2 linked regions of the Tamandua tetradactyla genome follow. The protein of the gene in region 1 purifies or fractionates together with the protein of each later gene. This does not show direct contact. Links are inferred from orthologs where the notes say so. Each region holds a gene or a part of one and is shown on either strand. Other genes may lie near its edges.

Evidence for each region. The genes of interacting proteins can lie anywhere in the genome.
Region 2: the proteins of P4HA2 (region 1) and COL1A1 purify together in Homo sapiens (co-immunoprecipitation; 3 studies listed by BioGRID and IntAct, counting the BioPlex papers as one, with this or other methods). This does not show direct contact. The link is inferred for Tamandua tetradactyla from reciprocal best matches to the Homo sapiens genes P4HA2 and COL1A1.

Annotation. Positions count from the first base shown.
Region 1 is NC_135346.1:10,879,942-10,886,832, forward strand, and holds the start of P4HA2 (prolyl 4-hydroxylase subunit alpha-2), read right to left. Parts: upstream 3,019-6,891; 5' UTR 3,013-3,018; intron 1-3,012. Other genes in the region: PDLIM4 (PDZ and LIM domain protein 4), read left to right, coding at 6,822-6,891. UniProt on the Homo sapiens protein: Catalyzes the post-translational formation of 4-hydroxyproline in -Xaa-Pro-Gly- sequences in collagens and other proteins.
Region 2 is NC_135332.1:31,352,363-31,360,051, forward strand, and holds the start of COL1A1 (collagen alpha-1(I) chain), read right to left. Parts: upstream 3,001-7,689; 5' UTR 2,857-3,000; coding exon 2,760-2,856; intron 1,286-2,759; coding exon 1,091-1,285; intron 966-1,090; coding exon 931-965; intron 827-930; coding exon 791-826; intron 682-790; coding exon 580-681; intron 1-579. UniProt on the Homo sapiens protein: Type I collagen is a member of group I collagen (fibrillar forming collagen).

The sequences.
Region 1 (6,891 bases):
TGCTAGGCGGGAGCATTTTGATTGGTCCCATGGAGATGTGACCCACCCAATTGTGGGTGGTAACTTTTGATTAGATGATTTCCAATGAGATGTGTCTCCATCCATTGAAAGTGGAGTTGCTTACTGTAATCCTTTAAAAGAGGAAATATTTTGGAGAGAGTCCCTTTTGTAGAGCCACGAGAAAGCCAGCAGATGCTGCCATGTTTGCCATGTACGCTTCCAGCTGAGAGAGAAACATGAACTTCATTGGCCTTCTTGAGCCAAGGTATCTTTCCCTGGATGCCTTTGATTGGACATTTCTATAGACTTGTTTTAATTGGGACATTTTCTCGGACTTAGAACTGTAAACTAGCAACTTGTTAAATTCCCTTTTTTAAAAGCCATTCTGTTTCTGGTATATTGCATTCCGGCAGCTAGCAAACTAGAGCACCTTGCAACAGGATTCTGGAGGCTCTCCATCTCTCCCTGGCTCTGGAATACAATGGTTCTCTGAGAGAATGCTTGTGTTCCTTCTCCAGGCCAACAACACTTCATGTTTGGATGCCCAATGTCACAGCTTTTTGCAGTCAGCTTGTCCTGACCCTAGACACAGTTACTTCTCAGGACCTGCTGACCCAGAGTGCTGGGCAGGACTCATTCCAACACTCAGTGCATCTCTAACCCAAATCCACCTTTTTCCCATCCTCTTCCCTGAGATGAGGCAGCTCCTTATTTAACTGTTGGTACAGAAAAGTTCTCATTATACCTTCTCTTGAAGGGATCCTGGCTTTTTGAAAGGAAGAGGGTGGTCTCTACTGTCCTAGCTCCTACTAATATGGTGACATCCCAGGCAGCAATCAATCTGATCCTCACCCTCTTGGTGACGATCAAGTCACACAGATTCTCTCGCCGTTATGGGTGAGTATGGGAGATGTCGGGTGTGTGGAATTCAGCCCCCACCAGACACTTAGGACTCTCATCCCAACCAGTGGAGGCTGAGTCTGCACAGCTATCAACCTAGCCCTGGAAGGGGCAGTGGGAAAGGATTTTGAAGATTCTATGGCTTTAGGAAAACGGCCACCCAAGGCATGAATCTGTCTCATGGGCCCCGCTCCAGCATTCTTCTGGTGGACCTCAAACAGCCTCACAAAGCTTCACCCCCGAAGACCTGGCTCCAGCTCTTCCTGCTGTAATCCCCATGGCCCCCTGCACCTGGATTCCCAGACCCCTGGGCCAGCTGGCAGCTGCTGGACTCCTCTGCCTGTGGCATGTCTCTGCCCCACAATCCCAGCAACCCGGGTGGCCAGGCTCACACCAAGTGGCCACAGCTGGAGAGTCCGGCAGCCAGGCCCAGAGGTCAGGTCAACCTGAACAGTCCCCGCCAGCCTGTGACAGCCAGGAGAGGCACCGCAGTCACCACTGGGCAGTAACTACAGGAGCGTGTTGCAGGAGAATGGGCCAGCCAGAGGAGATAGAAAGGGTGGAGCCAGGGGCATGCTGGAGATAGGCCTATGCCAGCTGAACTCCTGAGGGAGCTTTGCTGCCTCCACCAAGCTACACTGTGGCCCCTTGGGGACAGATGACAGCAGCTTAGTGTATACCAGTGATCCTGGCGGCTGGGAACTCTGGAGATCCACCCTGAGGACAACGGCCAGGCATCCTGGAATTTAAATCTTTGCAGTGATCTCCACCTGAAGCTACACATTTTGCATATATGTTACAAATGTTTTCTATTCAACACAGCCCTAAAACAGCACCTGGCGCAAGGGAGGCTCTCAAAAATATCTACTGAATAAACGAACTAACAAAAGCATAAATAACACGTGCCATAACTCTTGAAACATTATTTTCACATTTCTTCCATTTTCATTTTACTGGGGGCCTAGAAATAGGGTAAGTGGCCTGGACCTCTCCAGGCCTCTGAATGGCCTACATGTAAGTTCCAGCAGCCTAGACACAAGGAGTGTCCTCAACCAGGAAATCTGACCGCCCTGGCCAGGCCACTGCAGCGCGTGGGGTCCGTGGATGTGTGAACGGGGGTGGCGCTAAAGCTGTGCTGTGGACAGTGGGCCAGCCGGGCCCTGTCGTGTGACCCAAGCTGACAGACGAGCGGCCACAATTGTGTGAGGAACTCCAGATGCAGCTGGAGTTCTGTGCTGCATCCAGGCATGTTTTCTCTTTGTCCCCCTTGCACTTTTGGTTGAGTCTTACCAGCACCAGTAGCCTCATCTCTCTCTCCTGGGCTGCGAAGGGCAGGGTCCTATACCCCTGCTTTTGTCTGAGCACGGTCAAAGTTCAGGGCAGGACCAAGACTGTCCAGGGCCCGGGATGAGCACAGCCCAGCGGCCTGTAAAGCAGGCGCCTTCTCCTCACAGGGACTAGGGGCTGGCGGGGCCTCCAGCTACAGGGCGAGCTGGAAGCCTGAGAACCACTGGGATGGGTCTCTACCCAGGGGCTCCAGGTGGAAGGGGGAAGTTGGCGGGGATGCTGGGCAGGCTGCCTGCACCCTCACCTAGGCTCCCTCACCTGCATGAGGGTGGGGGCCCTGCGAGGACGGGGAGGGGTCTCCTGCGGGGCAGGGGCGGGGCTCTCGGGGCCTCTGGAAGCTGTCTCCCTGAGGCCTCAGTTGCACAACACTCACAGGGCCACACTGCCGGCGCTGACAGGCTGTTCTACCACTTCCGTGCCTGGGCTGGGAGGGGCCCCTCTGGCTCTCCCCGCTGTGCGGGGCCATTTCTCCCAACACCCTCCACTCCCAGGCCACGGGGCAGGGCCTCGCTGGGCTCAGCTGGGCAAACCTGTCCCCACCCTGCTGTGTGGCAGCCCCTTGGTTGGGTCCCAGAGCAGACGGGTTTTCTCTGTGAAAACAGAGATGAAGCAGGTCTGACGAGGATGCCGTGGGGAGGGCACAGAAGGTGGGGACAGGTCTGCTCCCGGCCACAGGGGCATGGCTTCATGTCGCCAGCATGGGTCTGAGCCCCAGCCCTGGCACTCAAGAGCCGTGTGAGGTTGGGGAAAAGGGGACTTACTCACCCCCTGAGGCTCAGTTTCCTGAAGTGAATCAGATCTACTTTCCCTCTCAGGGAAGCCAGTTGTGTCTGCTCTGGGACCTGGCTCAGGACCAGCAGTCAGGCTCCTGCTGGCAGAATCCGCCGCGCTCCCCTTCGGGCCCTCAAAGACCGGCTCCCTCCATGGCGCCCGGCCTCCCAGCCCCCCAAGGAGGCATGGCAGCCAGGGGCCCCCACCATGCCCTCTGCACCTAGTTGGCCAGTTGTAGGCTGGGCACCCAACAAGTATTTGTTGAGGGATCGAATGGCACAGGCCTGAAGCTAGGAAACTCCCTTTGTCCCAGGCACGCCCTCCACTGTGTGTTTTGTCACACCAAATACAGATAAAACGCCAGCTTTGTTGCTACCTTGACTGAGTCCCTCCTCCCAGAGGTTCCTAGGAGTCAGCCCCATCCCACCCACAGGCTGCACCCTCTGACTTTTGGACTTTGCCTGGAGCCCTGCCCCCACCCCACCCCACTTCCTCCACCCCTTTTAGAGCCTGCTCAGGGCCTGGGGTGGTCCAAGACCCCAGCATACTCCAGCACCAAAGGGGCAAGGCCCAGCTTTGTAGGAGCACACACGGCTCCTCCATCCAGCTCTGTCCTTGGGACTCACAGGCTCTCCACCTAGAGAGCAGTCCCCTGGGTGGCAGAGGCCAGGAAGCCCAGAGGTGGGCCAGACGGGCCTCACAATGGTGGGGGATTCTCCAGTTGTCTCCTCTGAGGCCCTGGGGAATTCAGGCTTTGGGCTGGGAAGGGACAGGACTGGACCTTGAAGGAGGGAGGTATAGGCTCCAAGGAGCTGAGCTTGAGCGGGGCAGACCCCACCCAGAGATGTATGGCCAGGGGGTTAGGGAAACGCAAGGCAGGGTCTGAGTTCTCTGGCCAACCCCATTTCCCTGCAGGGAGGCATCCTGGAGTGTGCACTGCCCCTTTAGCCCCACCCCGTCTCCCACCCAGGACTGCTCCCACTCCCGGGTTGGTCCTGGGTTGACCTTGCCCTCAGCCTGACATTGCTGCACTGCCCCCTCTCCCCAGGCTCAGCCCAAAGGCATCTCCCAAGGGTGCCTGCTCCTGCTGGAGCCTGCCAACCCAGCCTGCCCTGTGAGGAAAGAGATCCGTGGCTTCTCCTGACCTTGAACAGGCCTGACCCCATAGCGAGGGTGTGGGCATCACGCCTGGAGCCACTTGGGGCTCCCCTGAAGGACACGGCCAATGGGTGTGGCCTCCTAGGTGGTGGGAGCAGAAGTCCTTGCCCACCTATTCCCCTCATTGCCTCCCTGGCCAAGGAGGAGATGAGATAATTTACATAACAGTGATAATGTTAATCATGAGAAATGTTTCTAAACTTCTGTGTGCCGGACTCTGTGCTGGGAGCTGGAGAAACATAAGTAAATAAGAGAGACACAGACCAACCCCAGCCTGGGCCGGCACAGGCCTTGGCAAATGGAGAGCACTCAATACGGATTTGTTGAATGAATGAAGAACGCATGAAATGAGCTGTCTGGTTAGCCCCAGCAGCTCAGATGGTGGGCTGGGCAGTGAACAGGTGACGGCCGCCAGCGTGGAGGGGACACATGACCCGATTACCCGGCCCACACCATGGAGAAGCTTCTGGAGCTGTGACTGCCTGTGGCTTGGAGCCCCAGCATCACGCACCCAGCCGCCCAGGAAACCCCCAAGACCCCACACGACAAGCACATAAGTAGGGAAAGGGTTCCTGGCAGAAGTATTGGGGAGGAGTTGGAGAAGCCAGAGAACCTGCAGCTGGTCTGACCTGTGGTCCAGGACCCCAGCATACTCGAGGAATGGGCCTACGGTGTAGGCTGTAGGAAGGGCTGCCCCAGACCCCAGCAGCATAGCCTGGCCCGGGCGCCAACCCTGGGAGAGGGCACAGTTAGAAGTGGGCCTCTGATGTGCTCTCACATCAGGATTGTCTTCAAGAGCCCACAGTAAAGGGTGGCTGGCCTAGACCTCACATCCCACATCAGCCCGATGGGCCCCAGAAACTGCACAATGAAAAGGAAATTTTAGGTACCAGATTCTAGAGAGGTACTCACCACCCCACCTTTATGCCCATCCTGTGAGAGAAGCTGTTGGAGGTGGACTGCCCTGCTCAGAGGTTGGGCAACCAGGAAGGTCACCTTCGGGGGGAACCATTTTTGGACCCCTCCCCAGACAGAAGTAAACAGGAAAGCAGTGGGGGGATTGCAAGGTGGGTAGGGGGATTTCAGCAGTTCCTGGGGTTGTGTAAATTGGGAGAAGGAAGCACCTGAGGGGAAGTTTCAGGAATCCACTGTGGGATGCCCTGGGTAGAAGGGCTCACCACCCCACCTGCAACTAAAGCTCTGCACCATTTAGCGCCTCCGACTACCAGCCATGCTGTGCACCTAGCTAAGTGTTGTTTGCTCCCCTCCCCCATCCCATTCAGTGGAATCAAGTCCTGGGGTACTTTGGCCCGAGGGCCTCAGAAAAGACATCCAGAAACTAACTCTCCCACTGGCCCTTCTACCTCTGTCCCCATGGGACCCAAACCTGAAAGAAGCTGAGCAGAAACCTGCTCCGTCACACAATGCTGGGAGCCCAATGGCCAGCACTGTGTGAGCCCAGACACCCCACCAAACACACACATCTGCCACACACACACCTACCACACACACCTGCCACACACACACCGCTCAGGCCGTTCTTTCCCAGCTGAGCAGACAGCTGCAGTCTGCCTCCCACAGAGGCACCCGCATCCCACCTTGAAGGGCCCCTCATCTGGCCCCCTGCCCTGGGCTTGGACCCCACAAGGAGCTCTCCTCGTTGGAGGGTATGAGAGACCTGGTGGGTGCATCTCGCCCCACAGCCTATAAGCCTTGTCAGGGTCTGGAAGAGCACACAGTGTCACCCTGATGTGGCCAGATACAGGTGCCCAGGAGAGCCAGAGAAGGGAAGGCAGGGCCCCGGCCAGACAGCAGCACCTGCGAACACTGCCCAAGGACCTCCCGTGAAGAGTGGTCAAGAGTAGAGACCAGGAAAGGCCCCAAATGAAGGAGTGAATGCGCTTCCACTCCCCTCACTGTGGTACTGTGACACTGGCGCCAGCCGCCGTAGCTACTCTACTTCACGGAAGCCTGGGGAAACAAAGCCCCTTGCAAAGGAGGAGAGAGGGGGGCTGTCCACAACTGGGAGGATGACCTAGGAGGGAAAGGCCAAACAAGACCCCAGTGTCCTGGGATAACGGAGACACCTTGCTTCTCGACTCAAGTCAGGGGTCACCTCCTCCCGGCAGCCTTCCTGGCCTTCCCAAAGGGGATCCCTTTCCGTCCCCACTCCCAGGTTTGGTCCTGCCTGCCGTTTTCCTGGGTCTGTGTCCCCGACCCAGCTTGCGAGGGCTGTTTAGAAATTTGCGGGCCAGAACCTTGAAAAGGTTTCTAAGCAAGGCGAGGCCCCATCCCCCAGCAGGGCAGCTCCTCCATCCCTCCTCGGGCAGGGGCGCCGCCCCATAGAACGACTTCAAAGGGCCTAGTGCTTTGAGCTTCCGCGGTCGGGCTCAGGTCCACGGCCCGCGGGGCAGAAGCCCGGGTGGGGGGGATTCCGGGCTGCGGGCGGCCGGGGCTGAGGGGCGGGTCCTCAGAGCCCCCCGAGGTGGGCGGGGCGGGCCGGGCCGCGGGGCCAATCGCGGCGCGCGGGCAGCGGGGCGGGGGCCGGGGCGACGGGGGCGGGCGGCCCGGGGGCGGGGCCCGGGCGGCGGCGACGACGGCTCCTCAGTGTCCGGCTCCGGCTCCGGCTGCGGCTCCGGCCCGCGATGCCCCACTCGGTGACCCTGCGCGGCCCTTCGCCCTGGGGCTTCCGCCTGGTGGGCGGCCGAGACTTCA
Region 2 (7,689 bases), on another chromosome or scaffold:
CTGCAAAAAAAGTGCATCGCCTGAATCTAATCATGAGGACACTTCAGAGAAACCCAAATTGAGAGACGATCTACAAAACATTTGGCCTATACTCTTCAGAAAGAACCAGTGTTGAGAAAGGCAAAGAAAGGCTGATGTATGCCCCAGATTAAAATAAACTAAAGAGACATGACAATTCAATGAAATTCATGATCCTGGATTGTACAAAAATTGTTATAAAAGACATTGCTGGGACATTGACGATATTTGAATATAGACTATTTTAGATAATAGTATTGTATCTATGTTAAATGTAGTCATGTGCTATGGTCATGTAAGAGAATGCTCTTGTTTTTAAGAGATGCACACTGAAGTATTTTGGAAGAAAGAGGCATGATACCGCCAATTTTCAAAGGGTTCAGAAAAAATAATGATAATGCATATACATACAGACTGATAAAGCAAATGTGCAAAATGAGAGGTCTTTGCACTATTTTCGCAACTTTTCTGTAAGTTTGAAATTATTTCGTCTGTAAAAAAAAAAGTGTAGAGGGAAAGGAGCAGACAGAAGCCTTCCAGATGCCTCCACTCTCCACTTACTCCGCCAAGGCCAGGGGGTCCGGGGGGCCCAGGAGGTCCGGGAGGTCCGGGAAGTCCAGGCTGTCCAGGGATACCATCTCGGCCTGGAGGGCCTGCGGGTCCCTAAGGGAGAAGAGTTTGGGGGCGGGGTGAATGTCGGCCAGAGGCCACGCCCACCTGCAGCCATCCAATGGAGAGCTAGAGAGAGCGAGCAAGCTTGCGCAAGGCTTACCTTCGGGCCTCGTGGGCCGGTGTCTCCTTTAGGTCCCTATGAGGTTGGGGGAGAAGAAACAAAAGAGGTCGAGTTAGAGAAGGGCGGGCAGTGAGGAATCACGGCGGGTGGGGTGGCAAAATTCGAGGGCAAAGGATTACCTCGATTCCTGTGGTTTCTTGGTCGGTAGGTGACTCTAGGGGGAGAATGAGAGGCGGGTTAGAGGCAGACGCCTCCAAGGCGGGTTAGAGGCAGACGCCTGCAAGGCGCAGCGCCAGGGAGCGGCCCCGCCCTCCCCCAGCCCCGGGGCCGGAGCTCTACCATTGCGATCGGGGCAGACGGGACAGCACTCGCCCAAGGGGATATGGGCGCCGGGACAGTCCTGGCTTTCGCTGCATTTCACTTCATCACACAGCACTTTGCCGTTGTCGCAGACACAGATCTGGCAGGGCTCAGGTTTCCATACGTCTCGGTTATTGTACGTGATGCTATTTTGTATGCAGGTGACTGATGGGACTGAAGCAAGAGGGGGGCTGTCAGGGGTGCCCGAGACTTCCACCTCGGGGCCCCAACCCTCTTTCCCTCTACCCTAGAGACACATTTAGATTTTCCACTTCCCTCCTTATGCTCGACTCTCCCGCCTCCCCACCCACCCCCACCTTTCTCCAAATCCTTAAAAGCTCATCTGCTCCCCATCAGAGCCAGTGACAACGCCGAGGCTCCTGGCCAGCATAGCTATAACTCTTTCCAGTTCTCAGGAATTTAAACAAAACTTTAGGCGAGGGTTGCCCTCAACTCTAACCTCAGCCCATTGGTGCAGAAGCCAAGTGAAATAAAAAGCCGTTGGGGGTGGGTGGGGGGAGGAGAGAACAGGAACCGTCCTATCCAAAGGGCAGGCTTGCGGGGAGTGGTTTGGGGGAGACAGTAAGGGGGTTGGGTGGGAGGAGAGGAGGGAGCTCCAGTCCCCATTTCGCCCTGTTCCCTGGGCAGGTGGGGTGGCGTGGGCGGAGCTAGAGGAATGGGGAGGGGCTTATAGGAGTGGGGTCCCACCCAGAGACTTGAAATTGTACCCTAGAGTTAGTATATATCATAATCTCCAGAGCCAAGACATCTCAGAGCTCTCGAGGCCAACCTCCGTCTCCTAAAGGCAGACAGACCCTCTGGGTCACTTCTTAGCCAAAAAAACGAAAAGTCCGCAAGCAAACGAATCAGTTGGTTAACCACGCCCACCGCGCAAGCAACTACCCAGACCGCCACTAGGTGGCGGGCAACTCTAAGCAATGGGGACGTGGCGGGGCCAATTTCCTGGGATTCTTTTGAGTCAGAGGGCTATGTGGTCCCCGGCCTCTTGCTCCGGGTCTAGAGATGGAGTCCACGCCTGGCAATAACCCCTGTGTTTCCGACCCGGAACCTGCGCCCGGAAACGCTGAACAGAGAGGCGCAGTGCTGAGCACTGGTCAGCAGAGGACGCAAGGACCCCACCTTGCCAAGACCTCGCCAAAGTTTCTCAGCCTCCAGCCCGCCCACTCTCCGCGCCCCCTCCTCCCGCGTGTCTAGCCTGCAGAGAGGGCAAACAAACTTTCCTTATGAATCATCCCACAGCCATCCTGATCGCTTTTACGTCTTGGGCTCCAACCCCCCGGTTCGGCGCCCCCACCCTATTTTCAACGCGTCCCGCACTCCCCCTGCAGCCAGACCCCCCACTTTTCCTATTGCACTCGGCGGTGCGCCCTCGGGACTTCCCCCCCTGCGCCTGTTTGCGCCGCGCTTCATCCTTATCTCCCACTCCTGAGGGGAGTTCCTCCCCACCTCCCACCCCCGAGGGGAACTCCCTTCTCGCCCGGGGCGCCGGGGAAGGGTGCCTCACTATCTCCCTTCCATTCCCAAGTATCCAGAACATCTCGAGTCTCAAGTTAAGTGGCGGACCCTCGGGGCCGAGCGCAGGGCGCGATACTAAGCAGCCGTGTACTCCCGAAAGTTTGGGACTTACTGTCTTCGTCTTGGTTTTCGCCCTCCTCTTGGCCGTGCGTCAGGAGGGCAGTGGCCGCTAAGAGGAGCAGGAGCCGGAGGTCCACAAAGCTGAACATGTCTAGACCCTAGACATGTAGACTCTTTGCGGCTGGGGTAGGGGGTTAGCGCCCACTCATGCGTGGCCTCACACTCCGCGTGCCTCCTGCTCCGACCCCGAGGAGAAACTCCCGTCTGCTCCGATGGCCAGCCCGGGCCCCTTTTATACCATCCAGACCCGACGCTGGGAGGAACCCTGACCGTCGGGGAGGGGGAGCCCTCCGCCCGCCCCCCAGCCAATCACAGCTGCCTGGCCCGGCCCCCGATTCGGGAGTTGGAATAGAGAGGGGGAGGAAGAGGGAAGGAAAGGGAAGGGAGTCCACCCCGCATCTCCCCCCTTCGCAGCACTGCTTCCCCAGCCCCCCAGCCCAGCCTGGGCCAGAGATATCGCCGCTGGGGTGCGGCCGGGTCCTCAGTGTAGTGTGGGCTAAGGAGTGGGTGGGGGAGCCCCTTTGCTGTTCTCTCTGGAACTCCCAATCGGCCCGAAGGGCAATTGGGGAGCTGGGTGGCCAACCCCCCAAAAGTAAGAGGGCTGGGGATGACTGGGAGAGGTCCTCCTGGTCCAGCTCATCCACCTTCCGACACAGATAAGGAGACATCTGGGGAAAAGCCAGGGGACCTCTCCAAAGGAGGAGAATCAAGGAATTAAAAAGATGTCCCTCGTTGGGGTGTCTTCTGGTACGGTTGGGGTATGGAGCTTGGGAACATTTGAGGAACAAGTTAGAGATTCTAGACACTGAGAATCAGGTTGGGGGGGATGCCAAGGGGATTTTCATTTGAGGATGTCACTTCTGCCGTGCCTGAGGCTAGAAGACGGGCGGGCTCCAGTGTCCTCCCCCAAATCCTGGGCGCGATTGTGAGAGATGGAGTGGCAAGACCAAGGCACTGGGTGAGAAATGTGACTACATGGTGTCTCCAGAAGGAAGCTTTGGTGATGGGGCCCTGGGGTTGGGGTGTGTGTGCTAGGGCTGCTTCACCCAGAGTTGGGGAGTGAGCTTGGGGGGGGTGGGGCGACACCATAATCATTGTGTGAGGGGCTTGTGGCCAGGGACTGGTTAGAGACCCTCCCACCCAGCATAGTCAAACCAGAAAGAACTTGGGTGAAGAATGCTTGACCAAGGAAGGTGCCCCTTCTGGAAGCTGCATAGCCCCTTCTCCGGTTGAACCTGGACTCAGGGTTCCAGGTGTATGGGAGACCTGGGGTGTCTGGGGGAGGTTTGAAGTGGAATGCAGGAGAGGTTGAGTGACCTCATGGAGATGTTTCCCATCACCCCACCTCCTGCCTTAAAATCCAGACCATTGTTCTCTGCCTCTGGAGCCAGGAAAGAGTCATCTGGACCCTGAAAGGGAGTCGGGGGCTACTTTGGAAATGAGAAGTGGTTTCCTAGGCTATATTTGGGAGAGATACCTCCAGAAGTAAGTGTCTGCCTTCCCCAGATATTCTAACCTCCCAGCAGGGTTCTAGACCAACTCCAGTCTAACCAGGCCCCATCATCCTGCCCAATCTGTGGACCTAAGTGAGGGCAACGGGGCCCCTCTGCAATGCCCCGTCAGCTCCTCTCCCTCCTGCATGACTCCCCTACCCCCACTAGCTTCAGAGCTGCAAACGTGGAAGCGGGGAGTCACGCCTCCCCCAAACCATCCAAGATTCCATTGCTTCCCCCCCCCACCCCGCCCCTTTCCACACCCTCCCCCAGCTGGTTTTGTGCAACGAAGGCAAAGGGGGGAAAAAACCAAAAGAACAGAAGGGGAGGGAGCCACGTCGGCCATGGGCAGCCAGGATGAGCGGTACGGGTGGGGCAATGGAGGGAGACTGCAGGGGCTATAATTAAAGGGAAAATATAGTTTCCAGAGAGGCAGGGCTGGAGACAGCAATGGGGGGACAGACCTTCAGCAATTATCCTGACCATGTGGCAGCAGCTTGTGGCCCAGCAACTGCTCCCCCCAGCCACCCAGTGCCAGCGACAGCAGCATAGGTCCAGATACCTGAGGCGCTGAGATGGCCGTTGTTGGACCAACCCGTAGTCCTGCCCCCCACTAAGGATCAGTCCCAAGGGGCGCGCCCCTCACCCAGGGAGCAGAGGGAGCTGACATTTGGGGCGGTCACCCAGGCAGGGTGTCGGGGGGGGGGGGGCTCCGTGAGGAGGGGTGTGGCCCGCGCACCCCCCCCCCCCCCCCCCCCCGCAATGCTGAAGCTGTGGAGCCAGAAGGGCTCCTGCCTGCAGCTGTCTCCCCGTGCGCCCCGCCTGGGGCTCGCCCATGCCCACCTTAAAGAAGAGACAAGCCTCAGAGGTGGGGCTTAGGGCTGCCACATCATGGGTCTGGCGGTCTGGGGGGCGTTTGGAGACCCAGGGGCTCAGGAGTGAGTGGGCTGTGAGTGTGGTGTGTGACAGTTTCCACGCCAGTGTCCAGTTCCCGGCCTCACTCCCAGAGGCTGCAGCAGACGTTCCCAAGCATCCTTTACACGTGGCAAAGAGCTGAAGCCCAGGCTCTCCTTTGCCACTTTTTGACTTAAAACACTTGGCAGACACCCAGCCCGAAGATGTGTCTTTAATTTTTGCAGCATGACAGTGAGAGGAAGAATGTGCTTGGGGTCTCCTCCCAGCCTGGCTGGGCCTCCTTGGCCTGGACTGAGGACTGGAGACTGGGGGCGGGGTGGGGGGTGGGGAGGCGGGGAGCGTGGGCCCAATCGGGGAGGAGACGCCACCTCATCTTTAGGAAACTCTGAAGCTCTGGCTTCGGGTGGAATGTAAGACTTTGTCTGGCACTTGGGGGCGGGGGGTGAGCAAAAGCCAAAATCTCCTCTCCCCCCTGAAGAAATGGTAAAGTCATCAGCATTAGGAAAAAAATTCCTCAAAAAGAAAAACAGAAAGAGGAAAGTGCTGAGCTCTGAGTTCTCTCCCTCTCCAGATTTCCCTGTGTACCCCTCCCCCTGAGAAGGAGGGGCAGGGCTGTGTCCCCCAGCATCCCTGCTCCTGTGGAGTCCCTGCGGGGGGGGCAGGTCTGACTCCTTGGTGCTGGACAAGGGAGATGAGCCCTCTGAGCGAGAGGAGAGCAAGGGAGGGAGTGGAAGAGGGAGGCTGCGGTGGAGACCATGGGGTGAAGCTCCCCAGGGCGTCCACCCTGGAGCCCTGCCTGGTGTCCTGTGGAGGGGCCTGGGGTAGACCCCACGTGCGTGGGCCCTCTCTTCTTTCACGGCCTATGCCCTGAGGTCCCTTAGCTAAGCAGCTTAGCTTCCAGCATTCGGGCTTGGAGCTTTCTATGCCTCAGCCTCAGACCCAAGGCCTTGGACCTTCTGAGAGTTTCCTCCGTCCCTCCATTCCTCCTTTCCAGGTTCAGGGGGAGATGAATTCAGTTTTGCCCTTGTTGGGTGTTGGGTGCCTGTGAGATACTGAATAGGAAATGGGGAGAAAACCCTTGGGTGTCGGGGTCCGTGAGTCCAGGGAGACTGAAGCCGTGGGGCTGGAGGGACAGTGCGTGGAGAAAGCAGAGGTGAGGGGCTAGGACGGAGCCTGCAGGGTTGGGTGGAGGAGGAGGAGCCCAGCATGCGACACTGGGAGAGTGGCCAGAGAAGTAGGAGGGCAAGGAAGAGAGGGGTGTGGGTGTCATGAATGCCGAGGAAAGAGAGGGTTCTAGAAGGAGAGAGAATTCTATGCTGCAGAGAGAACTAGTACAACAAAGAATAAAATCTTCACCGAATTGAGCAGCATGACGGGGACTAGAGACCTAGGTGTGAGCTGTTAGAGTGATGGGCGAGGAAACCAGCTGGGAGTGGACTGAGGCGTGAGGAGGGGTGGGATGGAGTCAGACAGCAGACTACCCCTCGGAGGAGGCTGTGAGGGCAGCAGAGAGAAGATGCCTCAGCCTCCCTGCCTCCTTCTCCTCTTTTTCTTTCTTTCCCTAGGCTTTCCCCACTCCCTACTCCTTTCTTTCTTTCCCTCCCCTGCCTCCCTCCTCTCTCTCTGCTGTGTGATCTCTCTTCCTGCTCCATCCTCCCCATCTCTGGAGCCTCTATTTCTGGATTTCTGGTTTGTCCTGTTTTTCCCTCTTCTCCCTTTTCTCTTCTTCACAAGTGACCTGAGCCCTCAAATATCTTCACCCAGGTTCAGGCTCTACCTCATTCTCCCGTAGTGTGAGCCCTGAGTCCAGACCCTTGGAGATAAGCCTTGATTTCCAGTCCTGGCCAGACCCCTGCCCCATTCTCCAGGACACACACGCGCGCGCGCACACACACACACACACACATGCACGCACACACACATGCGCACACACACGCACACATGCATGCGCACACGCACGCGCGCGCACACACACACACATACACGCACACACGCGCACATACACGCGCGCGCGCGCACGCACACACACACATGCACGCACGCGCACACACACGCACGCACACACACACACGCGCGCACACGCGGACACACACACACATCATCCAAAGGGGGACCCCTGGGGAAGGAGGAACCGGGGAGGGAGGTGGGATGGGCAGGAGCGGGAAGGGCCTGGACGTGACCTGGGTATGCAAACTGACCGGTGGGGGGGTGCTGTCGGGAGCCCCTCGTCCTCACTGGGTGTACTCACCCCGCCTGAGTGCCCCACCCATCTTGCCTTCTGCAGGGTCAGTTCCCCAAGACAGGGGGACCTGCTGGGTCCTTCAGTGTGTCCCCAGACCCCTTCACAGTGGAGGTAGAGAAGGTTCTCATTAAAGAGGTTGGTTCAGAGAACTAATTGAAATTTTATTTATCCCTTTATGGCTTTAAGTTTGCACTCATTTCATCCCATCCCCTTTCTTCCTTTCCTTCTTACTTTTTTATCTTTTTCCTTTCTTCACCACCCCCTCCATCCTC